Linked DNA regions of Drosophila melanogaster. The protein of the gene in region 1 interacts with the protein of each later gene in a pairwise test. Each region holds a gene or a part of one and is shown on either strand. Other genes may lie near its edges. The genes, in order: CG4712, CG30160 and Tsp42Eb.

The links.
Region 2: the proteins of CG4712 (region 1) and CG30160 interact in a two-hybrid assay, tested with the Drosophila melanogaster proteins (one large-scale study listed by BioGRID).
Region 3: the proteins of CG4712 (region 1) and Tsp42Eb interact in a two-hybrid assay, tested with the Drosophila melanogaster proteins (one large-scale study listed by BioGRID).

The regions. Positions count from the first base shown.
Region 1 is NT_033778.4:13,248,239-13,253,366, forward strand, and holds CG4712 (uncharacterized protein), read right to left. Parts: upstream 3,487-5,128; 5' UTR 3,310-3,486; coding exon 1,771-3,309; intron 1,260-1,770; coding exon 1,163-1,259; intron 1,094-1,162; coding exon 705-1,093; 3' UTR 656-704; downstream 1-655. Other genes in the region: Mp20 (muscle protein 20), read left to right, coding at 574-592; CG4714 (uncharacterized protein), read right to left, coding at 3,658-4,031, 4,089-4,185, 4,260-5,128.
Region 2 is NT_033778.4:7,003,623-7,006,774, forward strand, and holds CG30160 (uncharacterized protein), read left to right. Parts: upstream 1-1,534; 5' UTR 1,535-1,595; coding exon 1,596-1,847; intron 1,848-1,911; coding exon 1,912-2,076; intron 2,077-2,148; coding exon 2,149-2,400; 3' UTR 2,401-2,514; downstream 2,515-3,152. Other genes in the region: Tsp42Ea (tetraspanin 42Ea), read left to right, coding at 1-20, 283-354; Tsp42Ec (tetraspanin 42Ec), read left to right, coding at 2,951-3,010.
Region 3 is NT_033778.4:6,996,896-7,000,401, reverse strand, and holds Tsp42Eb (tetraspanin 42Eb), read right to left. Parts: upstream 1,555-3,506; 5' UTR 1,473-1,554; coding exon 1,221-1,472; intron 1,157-1,220; coding exon 992-1,156; intron 920-991; coding exon 668-919; 3' UTR 554-667; downstream 1-553.

The DNA.
Region 1 (5,128 bases):
GCTGGCACTTTTCTAATTTCTCGATTTATTATAGTTTGTCAGTGGGTGGAATTGATCTCTGTTGGCTTATTATGCTGAAAGCAAAGAGCAGGAATGGAAGAATCTGGAAATATTTTGTATTAATTGTATGTTAGATCTATTGAAAAAATATGTCTTAGAACGCAGAATATATTCAGCATGGATTTGTTATTAGTTTTAAATGACGCAGTCTGCAAATGAAATATTTTCCTCATTCGTTTTGGCTAATTGAAGTGTACTCAGGTCGTGTGTACAATATTTTAGACTCAAATAGTGCTCAGAAAGGATGATTAAGAATAAAGCGTGCCAATTTCCGAATCGGTATATTTAGAATTTTGAAAATTTCCAACAATTGGTTGCTAGAAATATTAATGAGAACAACCAAACGGTATTTCCCCTTGGTTTTGTTGTTTTCTTCAACATATATATATGGATGGAATAAATAAAAGCAGGCAAATAAATAACAAACTTGACACTGAAAATGTGGGGGATATATATATATATATACATATATATTAATAATGGTTCATTAAGAGATTTTCTCTACCGTTTCAGGGTTATTATTGATGCATAAGCTTACGACTAGGAAGTCTTGAATTTTCCATTGTTTATAGCATTAATAAACGACAAATATTATATTATTTTTGTGGAAAAATGTATTTGGTTGAAAAGTGGTAATAGCCCTATTAAATAATCGAGCTCTTTTTTCGAGGTGACATCAAACTTTGCAGCTGATTGGTAAGTGATTTTAGGGTTTCCCGGAGACTCGAGACCATTTTCTCCTTTTCACGAACATAGGCGACAGTTCGATCGTAGTCATACATCAATGCGGGCATAGCCAGGATACCACCCTGGCATGTCAAATCTCTCATCCGGCGCCTAATAGCCTTGTGCTCCAGTTTTCGGCGACACAGCTCGGATTTTAGTTTATTTTTCAACTTGTGCTTTTCCAGCAGGTTATCTTTAAGAACGTGAATTTTGTTCTTAAGCTCGTGGGACTTCTCTCGATTGTGCTTAGTCATATGCAGTTCGGTGTGGTAGAGCCTGCGCTGTCTTTTTAATTCAATATTTCGCTCTGATGGAGATGATTATTATGCATATAATAATGAACAAATTTTAAGCAGAGATGTTCATAGGACTATACCTTCAATCTTCTTTTCTAGGCCGATCGTTTTGTTTTGCACGGAAATAAAGTCATTCAAGCTCACACCGTCGCAAACCGTTTCTACATCTCTTATTTTCTAAATGGAGATGTTTCAGAAAAGTATGTTGATACAAGTAAAACAATCAAATTAGAAAACATATGAAAAATTGGAAAACAATATTGGTGATAGTAAATATAATGAAAAACTACATGGCTGGATAGTGGGAAGCAATGTGTTGTAAAATATTGTGAATAACTTAATAGCATTATGTGACAATTTGAATGAGCATAACCGGCGGATAACATGGTTGCTAACATAGCATATAACATGTCGGATAACATAGCATGTAACATGAGTTGGCAGACAACACGGCGATTAACATATAATGTAATATGACGGATAACATGGCGAATAACATGAAGGACAACACGGCTGATAAAATGGCGGACAACATGGCGGATAATATAGCATGTAACATAGCATATAAAATGGCGAATGACATTACAAAAAATACGGAGGATAACATGGCGGACAACATGGCGGAAAATCTCTCAACAACGCGTTCAACATCGTGGACAACTTTTTGGACAACATCCTGGATACCTACTTCTAAGATGCGGGCCAAGGTGTGTTTCTGCGACATGAGCAACAGCCGGGCATCGCTAATTTGATTCCGATGGTCGGCCATAAGTCGGAGTTCGCGGGCAACCAGGCGCTTGAGGAAATCGGTCTCGGCGTCCGGACGAACCAGGATGCGTTTTAACGTCTGCTCGAGATGATGCTCCGTGCTGAGAACGATGTTCATGGCGTTGGCGAGGTCCAAAAACGCAGTGGTCATTAGAATGCCATATTTCTCCCTTACCCTGATGAGGCGCTCTTGACCATAGGACAGATAGGTCAGGGCGTGATCAAGGCGACGGGAGTAGGTTGACTCGGCGTTCGGCGTTAGGCGGTCAAAGTATCGGAAGTTTTTCGTGCGTCGGAAGTAATCTACCATTCGCTCCTCCAGCTGTTTGTTATGATCCCTTACACTTGTGTAATCATGCACCTCATTCTGCAGAGCGACCAGCAGCTTTTCTTTGTCCAGTCGCACCCGAATATATTCCTCAGTACCCCGATGCTCTGGCATGACTACCTTATGTATCAAATGGTTTATAAATTCAGAAATAACCTGGCTTGTCTCTATAGTCCTCAGTTGGGCTGCCACATCGATTTCGTCCGTTTCAAGGTGTTCCGTTGTTACTGTAAACAACTGTTCAAAGCCCATGTAATCATTTCTTTCTTTTTCCAAAGCTGTTGTTCTTGAAAATTCGTCTTTTATGGGTGCCAAAGACTCGCAAATCGATAGTGAGTCGTACAATTGATCCATTGGAGTACGCGGATCAATGGGGCCAATGGTGGATTCTTCTTCCGACTCTTCGGTATCGAAGCTTGAATTGCCATCGGTTGGGGAACTTTTAAAAATTAATGATCTGTTCGATTTAATAGAATGGGAAGACTTTCTTGACGTGGGCGGCGCACTTGGCAGCGAAATATCCGACAGACTGGGCACCAGCATTAAAGATTTAACGGCCACTTTCATGGGATCTATGCTCTTGGACCTCTCGGTCACTGGTGCTTCTGAATCAGATTCCGATGGGGTTTCGATGAGATCGAGCATGTCTTCGTCCTCGGCATTAACTGCGTCCAAAGTGTCTGCTGCGGGAGCAATATCCGTGGTTCTTCTGTTGTCACTGTCGATATCCTCACCCAGCTTGGTCCACAGCAATGTTTCATCGTCCTGCTCCTCCACTTGTGAAATGGACATGTGCCGTTGAATACTGTCTTGTGACTTGCTGGCCATTTCGTCTTCCCTTTGGTCCCCCTCCTGTTCGCCGGACTTCTTCATTTTCATCTCCTCCGCGTCACGCTCCTTTAGTCGATTCATGATGTCCTTTATTGCCAATTTTCTTTCCTCCTTTCTAATGATTTTCAGTCTTTCTTCACTGTTTTCATTTGATGACATAGAAACCATTGAAATATTCACCGAAACAGACTTTTTACTATCGCCTGAAAATCTCGAGAGAACTTCATCAGCCAAGCTTCGTACCGCTTCGTTTTCCTCCAACAAATCAATCTGAGGTTCTTCATTATTCTCCGTTTCCATCGTGTATGTATATATTTACTTCACTACTTATTTCGTTTTTGCATACGATCTTAAGTATTTGTATTTTTTATATTTGTTTTAATGTGCTTTTGCTGTTTTTTTTGTTTTTTATTATATTTTTAGTGTTTATGTATAGAGTTGTTGTGTACTCGTGTACATTTGTTATGTATCTGGCCCTATGCTTTTTTTGACAGTTTTTTCATCGAGACAGATGTTGTGAAGGGTACACTATAGTGGTGTACAAGTATTGCTCTTTCAATCCATTTACAACTTATTGTCACAGTAAAAGCAGCCAAACGATTTTATTATAAATTGTACTGTTTTATTGATTTGTGGATTCTTACAACTCTATATACTTCTTCCCTCTACATAGCTGAGCCGACGTTGGAGTGACTTTAGGGTTTCCCTGAGCTTGGCCACCGTTTCCCGCTTCTCCTTCAATCGCTCCACAGTGTTGTCGTAGTCGTACATCAGCGAGGGCATCGCCAGGATGCCGCCGTGGAAGGTCATATCCCTTGACTGCTGACGCATCTTCTTCCGCTCCAATTTCACTTCGTAGAGACGTCTACGCAGGTCTGTCTGATTTTTCATGGCATTCTTCAACCGGATTTTACTTAGCTCAAAATTTTCCGCCAGAGCCAGCGCCTTTTCTCGATTGTGTCGCGTGAGATGAACGTCCATGAGGAACTGGGTTCGCATCCTCTTCAGATCGGTATTGCGTTCTGCGGGAAATTTGTTCATTAGCCCATGTATTTTTTTTAGGCAATAATGGTGCTCACCCTCGATTTTCTTTTGCAGGGCAAACACATTATTTTGCACGGACAAGAAATCTTCGATACTCAAGGTCTCACTCAGTGTGTCAAGTTCCTTGATTTTCTGCTCAAGTCACAGAAGAATAATGTTAATTTGTTAAAAACTGCTGCGGAATTCGCAGTCCACGGCAGACTTACCCCCATAATGCGACCTAAGGTGTGCTTTCTTGTGATGAGAAACAGTCTGGAGTCGCTGATCTCGTTCCGCTTGGCTGTCATCATTCTCAGTTCGCGATCAACTAAACGTCGCAGATTATCCGATTCGGGCCGGACCAGGTGTTCCCGGAACAGGTGCTCCAAGCGTTCCTCAGTGATCGAGGCGACACTCTGGGCGGAGTGGAGATCCAGGATCACTCTGTTCATCTGGATGGCGTGCTTGTGCTTGGCCACATCCAGTCGATACTTCAGACTGTCAAGCAGGGCCAGGGCATGCATGTATCGGGAGTGGAATCGTTTTTCATTTTCCGGCGAGAGTGTGGCGAAGACACGGGCATTGCGATTGCGTTTATAATATTCCACAAGTCGATTGCCCACCATTTCGTTGGTGTACTTCTCATACAAATATGTAGTGATGACTTTATCAAGCTCGGTCAATAGCTTATTCTTGTCCAATTTCGCCCGAATTTTATTGTCCTTGTTGTGGATGTCCGATAAACTAGCCGTCTCCTCGAAAAGGTCGTACAGTAGTTCACGGACTACCGCCTTGATCTCGAGAGCATGCGAAATGACTGGATCGTCTCGGACCTCGGGAACTGCAAAGGCAACCTTTGACAATGTGCTGAATGCATCGATAGAATCTTGGTTTTGTTCCACTCTTTTTACGACTGGAATTTCATCGAATTCCGGTATGTCGGAGACATCGAAAGAGTCGACCTCACTTTCTGGAGCCGCCTCCTCAGCCTGTTGCTCTTTGTCCACGTCTCCAATCGATTCCGACGACGAGCTGGAACCGGAGTCCATGTTCGACGTTGGATCCGCAAAGAAGCCATGATCTTGCTGGACGCTTA
Region 2 (3,152 bases), 6.2 Mb from region 1:
TGGTCATCGCCGCCATCGAAGTAAGTTATTGTCCAGAGTAACGCAATCGAACGAAATCGATCATCGAATCTAGGTGCTTCCCCATGTGAATTTCGAAAATATGATGGATGGGTTCATGTTACCTACCTTCCATTGTGATTTCTTGGGGATAACCAAAAAGTACTAAGTAATGTAAATCATAATTCGTAGCAATGCAGTTTAGTTTGTTATTTTACCATAAGCGTTATGAGATTTACACCTACATGTATATCTTCCAATATACCATACTCTGTTTGCTTTCAGTTTGTGGGATTCGTTTTCGCCTGTTGCTTGGCGAACAGCATTCGGAACTATAGACGCCGTGCGGAATATTAATCGACAAAGGACTAAGGCCTTGCACTAATTTTAATTGAAACCGAAAGTACGAATTATGTTGCCCAATTTTACGAATATTTACCTGATACAGATGGCCATTCAAATTTGCATAATCTCAAGCGTAAGCAGCAAATGCAGCAAATCCAATGACGAATGCGTAACGATCACTTTTGTAAGATCGTTTGTTCAAAGTTACACTGAATGTGCTAATATGTTTAACTGTACAAAATAACTTATACTCCTGGAGATTGCAATAAACGGAGAAATTTATTTACAATTTACGAAAAGAGTTCAGTCTTTGTCTTAATGGGAAAGCTTACATTGTTTGCAATTCGACTTAATCCCTAAAGCACCTATTTTTCTAAATTGCCACGGGAGGATTTCGGCCATTCGCGATAACGTTTTAATCTGCAAAGTAATAAGTATAAATAGAGTTGGCCGAAACCAACAAGTACACTTTGATTACAGATCATTATCAATCATTGGCTCTATTGACATATTTCCGTAGAACTAACCTATCAGAAGACTATATTTAGTTAGTTAGCTTTTTAGGGCTCAGACGAAATCTTATCTCCATTGAGCTATTTTATCTATGAAGGGCACATAGCCGTTTTGTGAATGTCAATGGGAAATTATTCCGCCGTGGAAACCCCAATAGTTGCCAAAATCTTGTTGAAGTTAGGCTGGGAGTGCACTCGCTAAAAGGTTTATTGCTCGATTGATAGTACATAAATCTAGGCGATAAGATCGGGGACTCACGGGGAAACGGACTCCAAGCAACGTAATATGTGAGTCAGCGTGCACCGCGTACTCTTGACTGGTGATAAGGCAAGGTGTGGAGGGTGTGAATGATTCATCTTATGAACGATCTAACGCCCCCAAGATGGAATCGCACGAGGGCTAGATAAAATTCCGCCACCAGCAGTTTGCACCTACCATTCGTTGAATGAATCATTGCGCCAAGGATGTAATTTCCCAGGTTCGGACCACCACAATGATCTGGTATCTCGTGGGTGCAAAGCGATTCACCAAGTACAAGTACATGGGCATCGGAGCTTCCAGCACAAGTACATACGGAATTTTATGGCCGAGATAAGAGCGCAGCCGATAAGATGAGGACTCCGAGTAAGCTTTAATAGCCGCGTTCTGTCCGAGGGCCCATTCAGTTAGACGAACATCGTCACATCGAACGAACGGATTATCCAGCTAGCCAACGAGAAACCCGAACAGAACCCAGCACCATGAACTGTCTATCCGCGATGTTCAAGTACCTGCTGTACTTGCTCAACCTGGTGTTCGTGGCCGGTGGCATCCTGCTCATTGTGGTGGGCTCCATCATGCTCTCCACGATGGGCAACTTTACGGCCTTCGACGGAGGCGTTAACACCCAGACCATCCCGATCTGCATTATCGTCATCGGAAGTGTCACCTTCGTAGTGGCCTTCTTCGGATGCTGCGGCACCATTCGCGAGAACGCCTGCTGCACCACCATCGTAAGCACTCGGAAATCACCCACTGACCGAAATTGGATTCTAAATGACTTGGCATTCCTTTCAGTACGCCATCTGCATGCTGATTCTGTTCGGCCTGCAACTGGCCCTCTCCATCTGGATCTTCGCGGCCAACGACAAGTTCCTGTCCAGCATGGGCAAGGCAGTGGACAAGGCGTGGGATGAGAACAATGCCGCCCAGGGATACCCCATGGATGCCCTCCAGTTGGCCGTAAGTTTATCGAAATTCACCATCAGATGTCATTAGTTTTTTCCGGATATTTACGTATCTATTCCATTGCAGTTCTCTTGCTGTGGCAACACGGGATACCAACAGTATGAAACCGTGCCCAGCTCCTGCTGCGGCTACAAGGATCGCACCAAGGTGTGCGAAGCGGAGATCTACAGCCAGCGACCTGGCTGCCGGCAGGAGTTCGTCGATTTCTGGGCCTCCAATACGGACCTGATTCGATGGAGCAGTCTGATCATCGCCCTCTTCGAGCTGGGCATCTTCATCATGTCGTGCTGCCTGGCCAGCGCGATGAGGAAGCGCTAGAGCCGAAGTCAGATACAATCCTTAGACGTAGCCCAGTTCATAGCATAAATCCAACACACGAATTCCTCACTCACTCACTCACCGTAAATAAACCAGAATAGGTTAAGCCCAATGAAATATTATTGCTTATTCGCTGTCTACCTCTGGCTGCCGTCTATCTAATCAAGACAGGTTGATGTTTTTCCAAAAAGTATGTCCTTATCGGCCTGTTAGCCGAGTGCCGCGTTTCCGAGATCGAATGCCCTCAGTAGTGGTGAATCACCTCCATATGGCAATGGCTATCGATCTCCGCCCGCCGCCCAGTGCCCATTATCTATTTTTCGTTTCGGCCATGATTATGATAACAGGCACTTGCGTATCTTTCCTCCGATAGCGCCCGTGTCTGTTGGCCAATTTAAAAACAGTAGCCCATCTGGAGGAGCAGTCCAATCGAACGACAGTAAACGACGCGAGTGCGCGATAAAATCAGAGACACCGACAACTCCTTTGGATAAAACAATAGTGTTTATTTAATTCTACTAAATACAGGAGCAAACTATATACTTTCAAAATGGGTTGTCTATCGGGAATAGTCAACTTTATTTTATATATTGTCAATATCGTGTTTTTGGTAAGTGCTTGTCGGTTGAGTATCTAAGTAAAAGGAATTAATAATGTAATGAGACGTGTAACAATAGACCAAACACTACTGGGTGCAGATCCCAAATAGGTTCCAATTATGGATAACTTCATACTCTCCAATTACTTGTGTT
Region 3 (3,506 bases), 6.3 Mb from region 1:
ACGTCTCATTACATTATTAATTCCTTTTACTTAGATACTCAACCGACAAGCACTTACCAAAAACACGATATTGACAATATATAAAATAAAGTTGACTATTCCCGATAGACAACCCATTTTGAAAGTATATAGTTTGCTCCTGTATTTAGTAGAATTAAATAAACACTATTGTTTTATCCAAAGGAGTTGTCGGTGTCTCTGATTTTATCGCGCACTCGCGTCGTTTACTGTCGTTCGATTGGACTGCTCCTCCAGATGGGCTACTGTTTTTAAATTGGCCAACAGACACGGGCGCTATCGGAGGAAAGATACGCAAGTGCCTGTTATCATAATCATGGCCGAAACGAAAAATAGATAATGGGCACTGGGCGGCGGGCGGAGATCGATAGCCATTGCCATATGGAGGTGATTCACCACTACTGAGGGCATTCGATCTCGGAAACGCGGCACTCGGCTAACAGGCCGATAAGGACATACTTTTTGGAAAAACATCAACCTGTCTTGATTAGATAGACGGCAGCCAGAGGTAGACAGCGAATAAGCAATAATATTTCATTGGGCTTAACCTATTCTGGTTTATTTACGGTGAGTGAGTGAGTGAGGAATTCGTGTGTTGGATTTATGCTATGAACTGGGCTACGTCTAAGGATTGTATCTGACTTCGGCTCTAGCGCTTCCTCATCGCGCTGGCCAGGCAGCACGACATGATGAAGATGCCCAGCTCGAAGAGGGCGATGATCAGACTGCTCCATCGAATCAGGTCCGTATTGGAGGCCCAGAAATCGACGAACTCCTGCCGGCAGCCAGGTCGCTGGCTGTAGATCTCCGCTTCGCACACCTTGGTGCGATCCTTGTAGCCGCAGCAGGAGCTGGGCACGGTTTCATACTGTTGGTATCCCGTGTTGCCACAGCAAGAGAACTGCAATGGAATAGATACGTAAATATCCGGAAAAAACTAATGACATCTGATGGTGAATTTCGATAAACTTACGGCCAACTGGAGGGCATCCATGGGGTATCCCTGGGCGGCATTGTTCTCATCCCACGCCTTGTCCACTGCCTTGCCCATGCTGGACAGGAACTTGTCGTTGGCCGCGAAGATCCAGATGGAGAGGGCCAGTTGCAGGCCGAACAGAATCAGCATGCAGATGGCGTACTGAAAGGAATGCCAAGTCATTTAGAATCCAATTTCGGTCAGTGGGTGATTTCCGAGTGCTTACGATGGTGGTGCAGCAGGCGTTCTCGCGAATGGTGCCGCAGCATCCGAAGAAGGCCACTACGAAGGTGACACTTCCGATGACGATAATGCAGATCGGGATGGTCTGGGTGTTAACGCCTCCGTCGAAGGCCGTAAAGTTGCCCATCGTGGAGAGCATGATGGAGCCCACCACAATGAGCAGGATGCCACCGGCCACGAACACCAGGTTGAGCAAGTACAGCAGGTACTTGAACATCGCGGATAGACAGTTCATGGTGCTGGGTTCTGTTCGGGTTTCTCGTTGGCTAGCTGGATAATCCGTTCGTTCGATGTGACGATGTTCGTCTAACTGAATGGGCCCTCGGACAGAACGCGGCTATTAAAGCTTACTCGGAGTCCTCATCTTATCGGCTGCGCTCTTATCTCGGCCATAAAATTCCGTATGTACTTGTGCTGGAAGCTCCGATGCCCATGTACTTGTACTTGGTGAATCGCTTTGCACCCACGAGATACCAGATCATTGTGGTGGTCCGAACCTGGGAAATTACATCCTTGGCGCAATGATTCATTCAACGAATGGTAGGTGCAAACTGCTGGTGGCGGAATTTTATCTAGCCCTCGTGCGATTCCATCTTGGGGGCGTTAGATCGTTCATAAGATGAATCATTCACACCCTCCACACCTTGCCTTATCACCAGTCAAGAGTACGCGGTGCACGCTGACTCACATATTACGTTGCTTGGAGTCCGTTTCCCCGTGAGTCCCCGATCTTATCGCCTAGATTTATGTACTATCAATCGAGCAATAAACCTTTTAGCGAGTGCACTCCCAGCCTAACTTCAACAAGATTTTGGCAACTATTGGGGTTTCCACGGCGGAATAATTTCCCATTGACATTCACAAAACGGCTATGTGCCCTTCATAGATAAAATAGCTCAATGGAGATAAGATTTCGTCTGAGCCCTAAAAAGCTAACTAACTAAATATAGTCTTCTGATAGGTTAGTTCTACGGAAATATGTCAATAGAGCCAATGATTGATAATGATCTGTAATCAAAGTGTACTTGTTGGTTTCGGCCAACTCTATTTATACTTATTACTTTGCAGATTAAAACGTTATCGCGAATGGCCGAAATCCTCCCGTGGCAATTTAGAAAAATAGGTGCTTTAGGGATTAAGTCGAATTGCAAACAATGTAAGCTTTCCCATTAAGACAAAGACTGAACTCTTTTCGTAAATTGTAAATAAATTTCTCCGTTTATTGCAATCTCCAGGAGTATAAGTTATTTTGTACAGTTAAACATATTAGCACATTCAGTGTAACTTTGAACAAACGATCTTACAAAAGTGATCGTTACGCATTCGTCATTGGATTTGCTGCATTTGCTGCTTACGCTTGAGATTATGCAAATTTGAATGGCCATCTGTATCAGGTAAATATTCGTAAAATTGGGCAACATAATTCGTACTTTCGGTTTCAATTAAAATTAGTGCAAGGCCTTAGTCCTTTGTCGATTAATATTCCGCACGGCGTCTATAGTTCCGAATGCTGTTCGCCAAGCAACAGGCGAAAACGAATCCCACAAACTGAAAGCAAACAGAGTATGGTATATTGGAAGAATATACATGTAGGTGTAAATCTCATAACGCTTATGGTAAAATAACAAACTAAACTGCATTGCTACGAATTATGATTTACATTACTTAGTACTTTTTGGTTATCCCCAAGAAATCACAATGGAAGGTAGGTAACATGAACCCATCCATCATATTTTCGAAATTCACATGGGGAAGCACCTAGATTCGATGATCGATTTCGTTCGATTGCGTTACTCTGGACAATAACTTACTTCGATGGCGGCGATGACCAGACCGGCATACTTGATGATGTCGCTGTTCCTGTCCCAGAACTCAACGAAGGTGACCTTGCATCCCCGCCGGTAGACGGTCTCCCAGCGGCAGTTGTTGGTGTCGCTGCAGCAGGAGGGAGGGAACTTGCCCTGGTAGGCGTAGTCGGTGTAGCCACTGCGTCCGCAGCATTTCATCTGCGGGAGCGGCAGAAAGTCAGTTGAAGGCGGGTCACATGTCCTTGGAAGTCCCTAAATACTTACGCTGATCTGAATCGCGTCCATGTAGTCGGAACGACTGGTGCGATGGTTCCAGGCCTTCTCGACCACGTCGCCCATGATCTCCAGGTACTTGTCCTTCTGCACCCACATGTAGATCACCAAAGCCAGTTGGCCAATCATCAGGACGAACAGCAAGATCGAGTACTGCCACAAAGAATACATTTTGAATTGCAAGATGA